Diceros bicornis minor: one gene and its partner. The protein of the gene in region 2 interacts with the protein of the main gene of each other region in a pairwise test. Links are inferred from orthologs where the notes say so. Each region holds a gene or a part of one and is shown on either strand. Other genes may lie near its edges.

Region 1 (7,386 bases), on a different chromosome or scaffold from region 2:
TTTTATTTTTGAAGATGGCTACTTGTTTGTCCTGTAGAGTCTTCTATTGTCTGGATTTTGCTAATGGTATTTGTGCAGGATTGCTTAACATATTCATCTGTGCTTTACCTGTGCCTTAGAGCATGATCTCTCAACATGAGCACTATTGACATATGGGTCGGATGGTTCTTTGTTATTAGGGAGAGTGAGCCTTTCCTCTGCCTTATAGGGTGTTTAACAGCATCCCTGGCCTCCACCCACTACATACAAGTAGCTCTCCCTCTGCTGTGGTAACCACAAATTTCTCCAAACATTGCCAAATGTCCCCTGGGGGCAGAATCACCCCTGGTTGAGAACCACTGACAAAAGTCTATGAGATCCAGGTTTAATGTTTTGGCAAGACTACTTCATAGATAGTGTTATGTACTTCCATCAGGAGGCACATGACAGCTGATTGTCGTTTTGTTATATTAATTAGGAGCCATTAAAACCATTGCCTTGATCTGTTTATTTCATTAATGGTTGTAAAATGGTGATGTCCTAGTTCTGTCATTGCTTCACCCTAGCCATATATTACCTGGAATAATTCTATGAAGAGAAACTTCCCTTCATCAACTACTTGCTTGGTAACCCTGAGATACAGTTCTAATTGCAAACACAGGATGAATGATTTCTCTTTGTTTGCTAGTTTTCAAAATAATGAACTGGTTCCCTAGCATCATCCAAAGAGGACTGATGAATTTTTTTGAACTATTATGAATTCATGGATTTAAACATACTTGATATGTTTCAAGCCAACGCAGTTTTATCTTTACAGTGCTTAAAATGTCCATATTTGGCCAGTGGGAGCCATTTTAGTTAGGAACTCTTCTGAGTCATTTTGACAGGACCTTAGCATTCATTGATCACTGCTGTCTGGTATGACAAGATGTTCTAGGTTCATATTATACATTTGCTTTCCCTATATTGATATTCTCTAAGACTCTGGACTGAGTCTCCTTTACTCTTCACTCTACATAATCTTCCCAGGGCAACAGAACTCAACTACCAATTTTTTTTTTCTTTGATGAGGAAGATAGGCCCTGACCTAACATCTGTTGCCAATTTTCCTCTTTTTGCTTGAGGAAGATTGTCCCTGAGTTAACACCTGTGCCAATCTTCCTCTATTTTGTGTATGGAACACCACCACAGAATGGCTTGATGAGCAGTATGTAGGTCTGCACCGGGGATCCAAATGCAGGAACCCTGGGCCGCTGAAGTGGAGCACGCAAACTTAACCACTAGACCATTGGGCCGGCCCTGCCAATTTTTTTTCCTGAATCCACACACTTGAGAGATATACACTCCAATCAGTAATATTGGCCAGGAGTAAGGCAATTTAGAGGCATGGTGGAGGCCAAGCCTCACTGGAAGTTGTGTGCCCTGATTAAAAGCATTAAACTTCAATAAAAGCATACACTGTACTGGTTCACGGAAAGTCTTAGGTCAGCAGGCACCAGTCTGCAACCTATGCTATATGACCTGGTCCTGGCCTGATTTAAAACTGAATATTGTGAAAAATATGTTTCACAGACTCTATTTTGTTCTCTTCCTCTGAGAGGTGCTGATCATCTTGAACTTGTGTGAGCTTGGTTTTACACTTTATGGGTGCCCATCTGTGGAAAGCCCAAGACATTTTCCATTCCCACTCTCCAGTGGGCTCAACCTGGAGATTCTCTCTGCAAAGCTTGTACTGCTTTTGTTTCAGGCTGGGTCCTGATTAGGCCCTTACTCCTAAGGTGTGTCCTGTCCCTCAAACATTATCTCAGCTACTTGCCCTCTCATTGTCTGGGGTCCAGCTCATTGGCATTCTCCTTAGATCCTTGACCACACTAAAGCCTCTTTCTCCCTCAGAACCTTTGTTACGTGCTGTTCTCTGCCTGGAAGACTCTTACCTCCACCTTTTATAGGTATCAGTCTCAACTTCACCTCTTCAGAGAGGGCTTTACCGGTTTTTCTACATAAAAAGTCCTTCTGCCTCATCATATTAGCCTTTTATTTGTTTCTTTCCTAGAATTCATCACATGTAATTGTTTACTTATGCCCTGTCGCCCTAACTAGAACATAAACCTGAACTCCTTGAAGAGAGAAACCAGATCCTATACTATATATGTATATTAACTCTGGAATCTATAACAATATAGGACTGAATAGGAATTTAATAAATACTAGTTGACTGAACTAATAAATGAGTAGAACATTACATTATAATGCTTTTCTTGATTCAGTCTCTTCTTACCTAACCACTGAATATCGACTTGAATTGAACTATGGGCAGCTTTGCCACCTAGGACCTTTGCTTACGTGAAAACTATCCTTCTAACATTACCCTTGCCCTTTCTCCCTCTCACCTAGGCTAATATTTGTTTAGTTCTCAACTAGGCTTTATTTTCCCTTCTTCAGAAAGGGAACCCCCCTTGTTACCCCCCATCACTCTGAGTGACATGCCTCTAAGGATTCCAATATCCTGAGAGTATGCTACATGATGCAGTAATATCAAGTGGGTGGGGGCTAGAGCCAAATTGCCTGGATTTGAGCCATGTTTCTTACTACTACTTGTGACTTTGGGCACTTTAATTTCACATTACTTCACTTTCCATTTATGTAAAATAGAGCTAGTAATCTAATTGCATTTTTGGAAGAGGAAATCAGATCGTATACTTCAAGTGCTCAGAACAGTACCTGGCACACACAGTAAGAACACACAATTTTAACCATTATTCTTACACGACATCAATACAAACAATCCATAATAAATCTATAAAACAACTTGGGGTGAGTTTATCATATGAGCCCGTGTGAGAACCACATAGCCCTGGAAGGCGCCTTCACCAAGGAAGGAAGTACTCCAAAGAAGTGAAGTGTACAGCATGGTTATATACCATCTTGAAACAAAGAACATATATCAAATATGACAGGAATCTCTTTTACTACAGTCACAAGCTGTTTTGCTAGCACAGCAGGTCAGTGGTAACAAGATAAACACAGCAGGTCACAAGATGTACACAGTAGGTCAGTTTGACCCTTAGTTTCTGGGACAAAGTGCTTATCTCTAAAAAAAACGCTGATATGGGGGGAGGCATACATCCTTATCTTTAAATGCATCATTCTTTGCTTTGTAAATGTTTAAAGCAGATGTACAATGCATGCTTCACAGGCTATGACACGCCTTCCTGGAAAAACAAGGTCAGGCCAAACTAGTTTTAAACCAAGTGGCTTCCTTATATACTCTGTCTGTCTGTCTGTCTCTATATATACTTTTCTTATTGCTTTTCATTTATTTCTCAACATTAATTTCCTATTGTCTCTTCCCTATATTATATTGAACATTCTTTAAAGACAGAAATACTATTCTATTCACCCTTGATTCCTAAGCATCTAACACATAGCTGGGTGTTATGTTTACTTGTTTTTCCTTCTCTTTTTTCCCTGCAAGCCTCCAACAGCTCCAAACAAATCTCTTTTAGTGTTTTTCCACTGCTTAAAATCTTCCCACTGCCTTTAGTTTGGTCTCAATTTGTTATAAAGGCCATCAAGGACCAAGAAACTCTAGATTATTTTTCTTTCTCTGAACATGCCATTGGTTTGTTTTTACATAACAATGTTACTTTTTTTTCAAATTTTCTTTCCCTTGTAAACTCAGTCATGGAGTAGTGAAGCAAAATTACATCTTTATTCTTTTGGATAATAAACTTTATGTACCTTTCACCATATTATTAGTTAAGTAGTTTTTGGTCACTTCTGTACTTTCAATTTCTCAATAGTCTCTTTAATCAACTGAGTACCCCAGGGCCTCAATAAATGTTTAAATCAAATTTGCTATTATGTGAATTACAAAGTTATATTAAAATACAATATAATTCCTTTCCCCAATTAAAAACAAAACTAGTATGCTTTTGTGACAAGTGAGCTAGTTGCATCCTGTGCTGCCTTTGAAGCCCGGGACACCAACTGTGAAAGTACAACTGCCATCCCTGCCGACTGCAAAGGCAAAGGCCCATACTTGTCCTAAATAAATCTCCGATTTCCAGAAGGGAATCAGGAGTAGCGCGGAGCGACACGAAGCATCTTCGCTCTTAGGCTGAAAAGTACGCGAATACCCGGTTCAGTCGAGAAAACTGCGCCACCTAGGCGTACACAGCACAGCAGCGGCTCGATTTAAATAACTCCGGCCGCTTAATCACTGGCAATGAGACTCTTTCCACGGACATCCGGGCTGCGGGGGGCGGGGCGACGTGCTGACGTTACGTCACGTTCCCTTGCTCGCCCTGCTTCCCCGCCTCTCTCCGCACTGTGACGTTCCCAGGGAGGAACGAAGCGTAAACAGCGCAGGGCATTTCGGGAGCGGGATTGTTTCGCGCAGGAAGCAGGCTCCATTTTAGCGCCGCCCGCTGTCGCCATCTGTTTCCCTTCCCTCCGCCTACCCGCTCCGGTCCCCTAGCCCCAACGGGAAGGCTTGGCCTAGGCCGCGGGAGATTGGAGCGAAAGGAGGGAAGGGGAAAAGGGAGAAGGGAAAGAAGCGGGGAGAAAAAGGGTGAGTCGAGAAGGGTGAGTGGTAGAGGCCCAGGAGCGAAGCGCGCAGCCCGGCGGACGGACTGACGGACGCCTCCGAGCTACTGCTGCCGCGGCTGCGGCGCCGGCGCGATTCGCGTCGAAGCGGCAGCGGCAGCAGCGGAAACAGGAGGGGAGCAATGGCGGCCGACAGCCGGGAGGAGAAAGGTTAGTGCGGAGGAAGGTGACGGGCGGAGGCGGGGCTCGGGAGTGGGTCGACGGAGCCGTGGTCGTCGTTGCCGCGTGGGGGTTGGGGGGGTTAGCCTGCTCCGCGCGGAGCGGGTCCCCCCGACCGAGACGCTTGCACTCATTGGAAAAGATCAGGCCTGCCCTTACGTCCTCGATCTCCCTATGACCTAACACTTATCTGGCCTATGGTTTTTCTTTGATCCTAATTCCCCTCTTCTTTTTCCGTTTAGCTGTTCTGGGCGCGGCTGGGACAAGGCCTGTTCTGAGTTGCAGGCCCTTAGGTTTATTTGCTGGTAAGATTATGCGGATGTAATGCATATCTTCAGAACAACCTTTTCTGGTAGGCGAAATTTCGAAAACCCTGAATGTCACGATCAGAGCTGGTAGTATAGTAAGTGAGCATATTTAAGAAGTGCTATAGGTGGATTATTAATCTCGAGAAATATCTATTAGTAACTTGTGGCTGTTCCTGTAAAATAGGTAAAGTGGCATGAATTGCCCGTTTGGCTCCTCAAACACTTATTTTAGAAAACAAGATGTTTGGAAGGGTAATTATATGATTTAGGCCTGGCAAAAAAAATCCTGGCCGCTATTCTGATAGAAACACATTGTGCTTAACTCCCGGAGAGTACAACCAGGAGCAAATGGATGTAATTTATAGAGAGTTGGAGGGATAGAATTACAGTGGAATATAGAAAGAACTGATGTTGCCAGAAAGGAGTGTCATGTTTTGTGAAATACCGATCTCCCAGGCTCTGGAGATGGAGATCCTGGATCAGTACCTGTCTAGAGGGTGGTCTGTATTAGATGGTGCCTTAAGGTCTTTTCCAACCCTAAGATTACCGAAAGATTATAGTTAAAAAAAATATGGCACAGCTGCTGCTCTTTATTTCACAGATCTACTCTTCTGTGTGGCTAGTAAATTTGGGGTGGGAATTTATTAAATGAGCTCTAGAATCAAGTTGCATTAGGCCTGTGATCTTTTCTCCTTAAAAGAAAGAAGTCTTCATGCTTCAATAAACTGCTGTAGGATAGGGACAAGCTTGGGAAGTGGAGTGGGTGGGAATATGTTTAAGATATTGCTCCTATCTTAAAGCAGTTCAATGATTAGGTTATGGTAGCTTAATTTTACTTCCTTAGACGAATCCTAGAAACCCCTTCTGCCCTTTTTTTGAGAAGTCTGAAAGGAATGTGAACATAGGATTGCATGGTGTTAGTGAATAAAAGAAACTGCTTTTAATTAGTAGTAAAGTTAGTTATTAAAATAGATGATTTTAATCAATAAGAATTCAGTCAATGCTTGATTCTGTCACTGTTATTTATGAGCTGTGTGTATGGGAATGGGTGGCAGTTATGGTGGGTGAGATGAACCAAATATAAAATGAGTAAAACTCAGCACTCCTCAAGAATTCGTTGTCTGTTAAGATGAACATAGTAATTTTAAGTCAGTAATAGACTAGACTCCATAATGTACATTGAGGAAGAAAAGTAGGTGGTGGTGTAGAAATTTTGTCAAAGAAGTGGATATAGTGATGAAAATGTAATCCAAATACTTAAACTTTATTATTGGGAAGTAGTAACGCTACCTATTAGCAGTACTTAGGATAAATTGTCCGGCTTTTGAAAGGCCTTGATTTGTGTAGTTTTTGAAAAACTTAATTTCCATAATTGAACTTCTCTATTTTAGAACTTCTGATATAAGTGCTTATCTTTATAGTTTAGATCGAAGATTGTCTCTTAGTTTACTGCGAAAGCTAGCAAATACAAACTTACTGGAATTGCTTGTTTAATTTTTGAGTAGCAGGATTTCTAGAATAATCCACTTTGCAAATAAGGAAACTGAGTCACACAGCTAGAATGATAGCCAGAATTAAAATCAGTACTTGACTCTTCCTTCTCATACTTGAACAAGGAAAAGTGGGAAACTAAGTACTTAGTGTCATCAGTTATCTTGTATGAAACATTAGGAAATGGCAAAGATAAACCTTGTAAGAATCTTAGACATGTCACAAACTTGAGGTCCGTTTTTAAATGATTACATAAATAATGTAAGATCTTGATCAGAAATGAGTTTAAATGGCAAGAATTTGCTATTAATCACAGAACAGTTAAAAGACTTGGTCATTGAGTCCTTGGATTATTGGGTTTTGTGCGTTAGCTGTGTAATAAACAGGCATTAACTTCTATAATGCTTCTGTAATACTAATACCTGGAAGCTGAAGCCTGTTATAACTGGACAGATTGCCAGCTTCCTTTGATTCCTGTGTTGATTATTTGTCCAAAAAGTGGATTTGAAAGACATTAGAATGTTGATGGTGTTAACTAATGTTAAATGCCATTTTTCTATATGCAGAAATACACATCTTTTTTATTATAAACACTTTGTATAAATTTTATTTCTTAAGCTCTTATAAAGTTCTCTTCAAAAAAGTTAATCAAAGTTTAATATATCCAAAATGTGGATAATAAGTTACCACTTTCAAAAGTAACATGTTTTCTACATTACTAGACTGGAAGCTTCATGAGGGTCAGGAGTATGTCTGTCTTGTTCATCAGGTTTCTTGTGTACAGTTATTGTGTCTCAGTTCCTTGAATAAATGATTACAAGGTTGTAAATCGTTAGCCCAA
Region 2 (7,623 bases):
TCTGTGCCCATCCATCTCCAAAGCAGATTCCAGGGCTCTCCAAGAGTTGGAGAGCTTCCAAGAGAGCAGACAAACTCAGTGCCCACCTCAGTGTTCATGCCCCAATGCTCAGCTGACAACAAGGATACTTCTCACTTACCAGGGTTCTAGAGGGCTGAAGAAGGGTGGGGAGAGGAAGGGCCTGGGCTGGCACTCACCGAAGATGAGCGGCTGAATGTCCGGCTGCGCCGCCTCCGCCGTCTGTGCTTCCTCCGGCTGCTGCGCTGGCTGCGGTAACTGCTGTTCTCCCGATGATATTCGTAGGAATGCCGGTAGTCTGCATCATAGTAGGCTTCTCCTCGATCCCGGCTGTAGTCGTTGCGCCTATAGCTGCCACAGTATCGCCGGTCATATGCCCTCCGGTCCGAAGAATGGTCATCATAGCTGCTGTTGGACAACAAACACCCATTAGGTACATCTGTTCAGGCCACATTCCTTGCCACACCACGTGACAAGGTCCTCCCTCAGTGAGGACAAAAAGTAATGCTAGAAAAATAGCTCTCAGACACTTATCAAGTCACTCTGAGAGGACCAGAGAAGTGAAGTAACTAAGCACAGAGGAGGACCCCCGACCTGCATGTCACCACGACCTCTGAAAAGAGATCTGCAAAAGAACGCCCTCTGGGGGCCTCTTGCTCCTCTCCAGTGATTCAATCCAACAAAGAGCCTTTCCTGACTGACATTTAGCTTTGCTCCAAACTATCCCTAACCCATCCCTCCTACTGAATATGCCCCTAAGTTATGAAAACCATGCAGATCTAACTTCGTCTTGTCTATTAGCTCATTAGCTACCTCTGGCCCCTAGTCTTTTGCACTTGCTTTCCCTTTGCCTGGGACACTCCCCCTTTGTCCCTCAGACAAGCTTAGATGTCACATTCCCTGGAAAGCTTTCCCTCAACTACACATCCTGCCCTATTCCAACCAAACCTGCTGGATGCTTCCTCAGCCCCTTACTATATACTTCCTCTACGGTAACACTCTCAATACCACAGTGCAAATGGCTTATTTTGCTATCCATCTGGAGCATCATCTTCACCCAGCTGTGTAGCACGTAACCGATAAATCCTTGTTGAACAAATGAATGAGTGAGTGACCTTGAATATGAATTTCTCTTCCTGAGGTCTCACCTCCGGGAACGGACATGGTAGCTGTCTTCCCGCCGGCGCCGCCGTGTCCGGTCACTGCTACTTGACCAGGAGCGGCTTCTTCGTCTCTTATGCTTTCGGCTCCGATAGTGTTCATGGTAACTCCCCCGGCTGCCTCGCTCTGAGGAGTGGTACCTTCGGGGATGAGGCATCTGGAAGGGAAGGAAAAGCAGAAATAGAGAGAAAAGTTCTGAGTTTTCACAAGTCTCCTCCGAGGACTGGCTGCTCCAGAGATGCTAAGCTGCTTTCTACTTTTATCTCTACTTCTTTTTACCACCCCCAACTTCCTTCGTCTTCCTCTGTGCCTACAATTCCTCCTTAATGGAATATATATTCACCTACTACTCGGGCTGAAAACGCTAAGAAGTTTCCCCCCTGCCCCCAATCTCTTAATTACCCCCCACTCAGCTCACTGCTCTACTCTGATTTTCCTCAAACACAGCTCCATGAAGACCTTCAGGTCTGGGCCACAGCTCACTACAAGTGAGATTGTGTAACTGATGGACACTGCTGGGATCCAAGATACATCTGTGCTATGCGGAGTTCCTCACAACTCAACAGAGTAAAGCTTTAGTATACACTATTATGATACATATTATCAGCCATTAAGTGTATCTTATCTCAACTATACCATCCGTGTCCTGAAGGCAGGAATCCAGTTTACTAGGTCTCTGCATATAGCAGTGAATACCAAATATAAGCAAGTTCCAGGGATCTGAGCCTAGCCCTTTGAACTAACTTAATCATCTCTCACATCTCTGGCCAAAGCCCCCCTTGAGAAGTTTTAATACAGGAGGCCCCAAGCTGCAGTCAGCTTCCCATCTGGCCTCGCAGAATAACTGGTTTTTAATTAATATCAGAACTACTTGGCTAAAAGCTGGCCCCTTTCCAGTTATTGGAATGCCACGGTGCACAAATCCCTTTTTTCCTTCAAGGAAAGAATCAGAGAGAAATGACCGTCACAATCCAGGAAGATGAGAACTGGAGGGCAGAATAAAATGAAATAGGCCCAGGGACAGGAGGCTTGGTGGGGGATAGTGAGAGGATAAGGTGTGGAAAAGGCTTTTAATGACTTCTACATCTGGCTCCCATTCTAAGCTACTTCTTCCCAACCTCCTTAAATTGAGGAGGAGGGTGACATTTGATTCATGACCTAACAGGGCTTGCACGAAGACAAGAAGATGTAAGTACAAGATTCTCCCAGGTAATCCAACCTTGTTAACCATAACCACATAAATATCGCCATATACATACTGCCACCAAGGTTCCTCACAGGCCTCTCCCCAACCCAAAGCATCTCCCACGTACAACCTTCTCAACTTCTAAATCTTCTTTTCCCCTTCTCACTCAGAAAACCCAGAACTCACTCCTAGAGTCAAACTTTTTCCATAACCTCCAAGTGACACGGTGGTGTCTTCCCCCTCTCCAGCCTTCAGCCAACTTCGATATTCTGCTCTTTCTCATCTCTGAAGGCACTCCTATCCCTACTCCATCACCCCTTCTCCTACTCTGGTCCCTCCCAAGTTTCCTATAGGTCTTCCCGGACACATCTAAGGCAGGCTAATCTTCCACCTCATCTCCCTACTCCTCACCTCTGCCGCTTCGCTGGTCTCAGCCCTCCCCCTTTCCTAATTCTCGCCCCGGTCCCTTGCTCCCAATCCAATCCTATCCCCCGCCCGCCCCGCGGCCGCCATCTTTCCGCGCGGCCCCGCGGCCCGCCAGCCTGCGCGCTCACCGTTCTGGCGGCGAGGCCCGTGCGCTTGTCCCACAGGAAGTCCGTGATGGCGGCGGCACTGCGGCCGGAGTCCCGGCACCCCCGCGGCGACGAAGTGCGACTCCACCCCCTCAACCCGAGACCCTGGGACCTCCCGCCTCGTTCCCGGGCTCCGCTCCAGTCCCGCCCGCCCCGGCTCCGTCCCCGCCCCCAGGCTCCGCTTGGCGCCGCTCGCACCGCCCCCGCCCGGGGCCCGATCCCAGCTCGGTCTCCGGCTCTGGCCTCTCCGATCCGTCGCCGCCACCGTGAGCGAGCACGTACGTACGTATGCACGCCCTGCGTCGCTTCCCAGCTACCCCTGGGCTCCGCCTCCAGAACCGCGCACGCCACCGCGTCCTTGCGTAGCTCGCGGGCGTCCGATGGTGTGAGCGGGGGAGGTGCTGGGGCGGGGGTTCATGGGGGCGGGGAGGGCGTCGCCGGGCTCCACAGGCCTGCTCCGCCCCGCCTCGTGTGGTTCCGTATTCGTCTGTCTTTTACCTTTTTCATGCACTTCTGTGGGTTCCTTAGGTTTGGAGATTTAAAAGAAAGGGTTGTCATTTATGGAGTGTCGCCGCTCGCCAACTTTTGAGGCTTGGCGGTGAGATCTGATTGTCCTGCATAGCCTGTAAATATCTAGTTCTTAAAACAGATCGGCCACCTAACCGCAGCAAGGAGGGGCTCCCACCTTTTGTCCTGAACAAAAGCTGTGCACATGTGGAGTCAGGGCCATGGCCATGAGGAAAGGTTTGGGAAGTGGAGGGATGGAGATTTGGGTGCTAAAAAGGGGAAATCACTTGAGAACTGTATGTTATGTACTTATACATAATATATGAGATGTGTAATTGAAAAAAAGAAGAGGAAAGAGAAGGAGACCTTGAGACAAATTGGCCCGAGTTAGAGATGCTATATAAGGAATTGAGAAAGGGAAATGAAAAAATAACCTGAGGCTAACTATATTAAAGTCGGGGAATATCAGAAGGGAGCTGGGATGGAGGATAGTCAGATGGAGATTAGACCAGTTGGCCAGAAATGGTTTAGGAAAAGTTCCCTGAAATAGAAGAGGAAGGGTAATGAAGGAGTTGAGAGGAAAGAGTGGGGAGTTCACTTCCTTCTCCATGAACACCTTCCCAGATCATTGATTCATTCAACAAGTGCACAGCTCCTGTTCTTCAGCGCTTCACAGTGTAATGGGAGAGAAAGAGCTGTAAACAAATAGTGGCAGCCTGTGACAACAGCTGTCATGAACAGTGGTGCCCTGGCCACTGTAAGAAAGCTCTATTGGGCCGGCCCCGTGGCTTAGCGGTTAAGTGTGTGCCCTCCACTACTGGCGTCCTGGGGTTCGGATCCCAGGCAGGCACTGACGCACCGCTTCTCCGCCCATGCTCAGGCCACGTCCCACATACAGCAACTGGAAGGATGTGCAACTATGACATACAACTATCTACTGGGGCTTTGGGGGGAAAAAAAGGAGGAGGATTGGCAGTAGATGTTAGCTCAGAGCCGGTCTTCCTCAGCAAAAAGAGGAGGATAAGCACAGATGTTAGCTCAGGGCTGATCTTCCTCACCAAAAAAAAAAAAAAAAGAAAGCTCTAGACTAGATCCTACCTGGGGAAAGGAGAGTTGGAAATGTGTTTCTAGGTTTCCTAGAGGAGATGACATCTGAACCAACTGTTGGAAAGTGAATTGGAGGAGAAGAATACCAGGCAGAGAAAATATTTGCAAAGGTCTGGAGACAAGGCAGAGCAAAGCATTTCAGCATGATTGGAGTCCTGGCTTTCAAGAGAGAGACTGTCAGAAAGTAGGTCCAAATTTTGCAGGGCCTTGTATGTCATTCTAAGGGGCTTAAATGTAATCCCATAGAAGACGGGGAAGTTTAAAGGACATTAAGCAAGTGATATAGCTACATTCGGATTTTAGGAAGGTAACTCTGGCAGACTGTGCAAAAAGAATTGGGCTGGGAGAGTTTAGAGACGCTTTTAGAGGCTTCTGAAATAATCTAGGTGAAAAAATGCTGAGGGCTTGAAATAAGGCAGTGGCAATAAGAAATGGCGATGAGGGGAAGAATTTGAGATGTTTAGGAACTTACAGCACTTACCACATAGCACTATAGTTTACCTGTTCTGTCGGTTTGCAGGCACAGACGAGCAGTGGCTTTATGGCTAGGACTTTTGTATTCATCTTTGTATCCTCAGCGTCTACTCGGTGACAGGCAGTCACGTTTGGTGAAGGTTAGCACAATGAATTCGGAAAGGAAATACTAGGAGGAGCAGTGTGGAGGAGATCAGAAGGAAGGACTATGCCTAGGAGAGTGAGAGTGCTGAGAGAAAGTGGAATGCAGAAAGTCCATGAGCGAGAGTGGGGAAGAATCTCAAAAGCCATTCCCTACCTCTTCCATTGGTCCCCAATCCCTCGCCTTCCCGAGTCTCACGAGCTACAACCAGCGTCCGGTTTTTCCGCCACTCGCAGGCGGCTCCACCTCCCCAACACTCAGTGGATAAAAGCCCATCAACTCTAGGCCACGCCCCTCTCCATGGCTCTGAGTTTCCCTACCTTCTCCTCCTACGCTGGGAAAACGGCCTCCTTTTGCTGAGCCACGCCCACCTCAGAGTCCCTCCAGGATGCAGGCTTTATTGGCCCCGGCCCCTCCCTGGATGGCTTTCGGACGGCCGCGCCCCCGCGCGCCCTGCCCAGCCTTCCCGCGGCCCTCGCCAGGGGGCGCAGCGCAAGCCGCCCGCTGTCCGCCAGAGTGTCTGTCGCACACACCCCCTCCGCCCCGCGCGCCGGCAGTTCCCAGCCGACTACGCCTCCGCTCCGAGCCCGCCGGGCTGCGCCGGCTCCGACTCCGGGAGGGGTCGGGGGGTCCCGGATGGCCGCGGTAGGGTCTAGGAGGCCAAGCGTGTAAGCCAACGGGCGTCATGGAGGCGGAGCAGCGGCCGACCACCCCGGCCGGCGACGGGGCGACCCCTGGGCTGGAGGCGGCGCCTCCTGCTGCCCCGGCGTCTGCGACCGCGGCCTCGGGTCCGACCCCTGGGTCTGGGTCCGGGCCCGAGCCCAAGAGGAGGCAGCTCGGGACGCTGCTGCAGCCCACGGTCAACAAGTTCTCCCTTCGCGTGTTCGGCAGCCACAAAGCAGTGGAAATCGAGCAGGAGCGGGTCAAGTCAGCGGGGGCCTGGATCATCCACCCCTACAGTGACTTCCGGTACTGGGGACCCGGCAGGGAGGGCGGGGGCACAGACCCTACCCCCACGGGCCGCGACACGGCCCGCTCCACGGTCACTTCATTTCCGGCCCAGGGGTCCCCGGGTGGGGCGAGAGAGTCACATCCCCCAACCTAGCCTGAGAATTCTTGGGCGAGGGATTCCCAGCCAGAGGTCTTCGGTGACTTCTCAGGCTGAGGCTGCCAGAAGGGACAAGCAGAGACCTGGATTTCCCGTTTCGGGAACGCGGCAACCCCCCAGGACCACAGGGACCACTGGAATTAGAAACCCCTGCCTCCTCCAGTCCTGCTTGCGGGGGATCTGGGAAATTATGTCATATTCCAAGGCTTGGAGTCAGCCTGAGAGAGAAACCGAGCTCTGCTATCTCCCACTCCCCTACTCCCACCTCCAGCACCTGCCCAGTTAAGCAGGGCAGGCTGCCAGGAAAAATAGGGACACTGGGAGGGAAATGGGGGCGAGGGTCGCGTCCTGACAGCAGTTCTGGTCGCTGTCCCCGGTGCTGAAGTCAGGATGCAGTGGGGCCGGGCCAGGACTCAGCGATTGAGGCAGCAACGCAGGGGCACGGCCACCGCCCAGGTGACTACCAGAGAGAAGGGACCGAGGGTGGGGGTAGGGCCGTTTCACAGTCCCCATCAGGCTGTACGTCTACATCAAGGTCGCTAGGGGAGGAGAGCAGCCCTGTCCTTGAGGCAAATGAAGGACAGCTTTTGGACGAGGCAAGGATGTGTGCAAAGCACCAACCTGGGGAGCGAAATGAGGAGAAAGGATGAGATGTGAATCAGGAGCCTGGAAACACAATTGGAGACCTAGACATCATCTTGAATCCACAGACATACACACTCCCTAAATGTTCCTGTTTCCCTCATTGTTCATTCCACTCTCCTCTTCTTTATTGCCTCATTCCTATCCCACCAGTGCACCTTTTCTAGTCTCCTGTGGATCTCCCTCCCCTCCCCCATTTCACCCTCATACGTATCCCCAGAAGCCGTGTATCCCCCTTACTATCGTGCTTTTTCTCTGTCCTCTCTACTGCATCACCCGCCAAGCTTGTGACTGCCTGTGAGTCAGGCTGTGAAGATGCTCTATGGCTAGGCGAACCCTCTCTTCTCTCAGCTCACAGTACAGGATTTCTCCAGTGGCCCAGGAGTGAGAGGAAGAGGGGGTCGAGGATTTGTTGTTGATTGAAAGCACACTGTCTGAGGGGCTTCCTGGAGGCCTCGACTTGCGGAACACCAAACTTCTTTCAGGGGCTGAAAGGATTAATTTTGTAGTCAGAGTCAGAAGGGGTTGGATCCTGGGGTCCCAACCCAGCTGGGTCCTGGGGTGATGCTGCGATTAGGTGTGTCCTGGAATTAAAACCATCATAGCTAATGGAGCCCCTCAGATTATCCAGTGACTTTCTCTGAATGAAGGCTTCACCTAGCTCCCTCCTGACCTCTTCTTTCCACAGCTTCCACCACAGCAGTGT

What was found. The genes of interacting proteins can lie anywhere in the genome.
Region 1: the proteins of CLK2 (region 2) and YTHDC1 interact in binary tests that used the Homo sapiens proteins (3 or more experiments, as listed by UniProt). The two-hybrid records come from large-scale screens. The link is inferred for Diceros bicornis minor from reciprocal best matches to the Homo sapiens genes CLK2 and YTHDC1.

Annotation. Positions count from the first base shown.
Region 1 is NC_080747.1:54,209,186-54,216,571, forward strand, and holds the start of YTHDC1 (YTH domain-containing protein 1), read left to right. Parts: upstream 1-4,368; 5' UTR 4,369-4,709; coding exon 4,710-4,737; intron 4,738-4,988; coding exon 4,989-5,051; intron 5,052-7,386. UniProt on the Homo sapiens protein: Regulator of alternative splicing that specifically recognizes and binds N6-methyladenosine (m6A)-containing RNAs.
Region 2 is NC_080743.1:59,140,053-59,147,675, forward strand, and holds the start of CLK2 (dual specificity protein kinase CLK2), read right to left. Parts: upstream 3,003-7,623; 5' UTR 2,920-3,002; intron 1,337-2,919; coding exon 1,167-1,336; intron 427-1,166; coding exon 198-426; intron 1-197. Other genes in the region: HCN3 (potassium/sodium hyperpolarization-activated cyclic nucleotide-gated channel 3), read left to right, coding at 5,853-6,136. UniProt on the Homo sapiens protein: Dual specificity kinase acting on both serine/threonine and tyrosine-containing substrates. Phosphorylates serine- and arginine-rich (SR) proteins of the spliceosomal complex.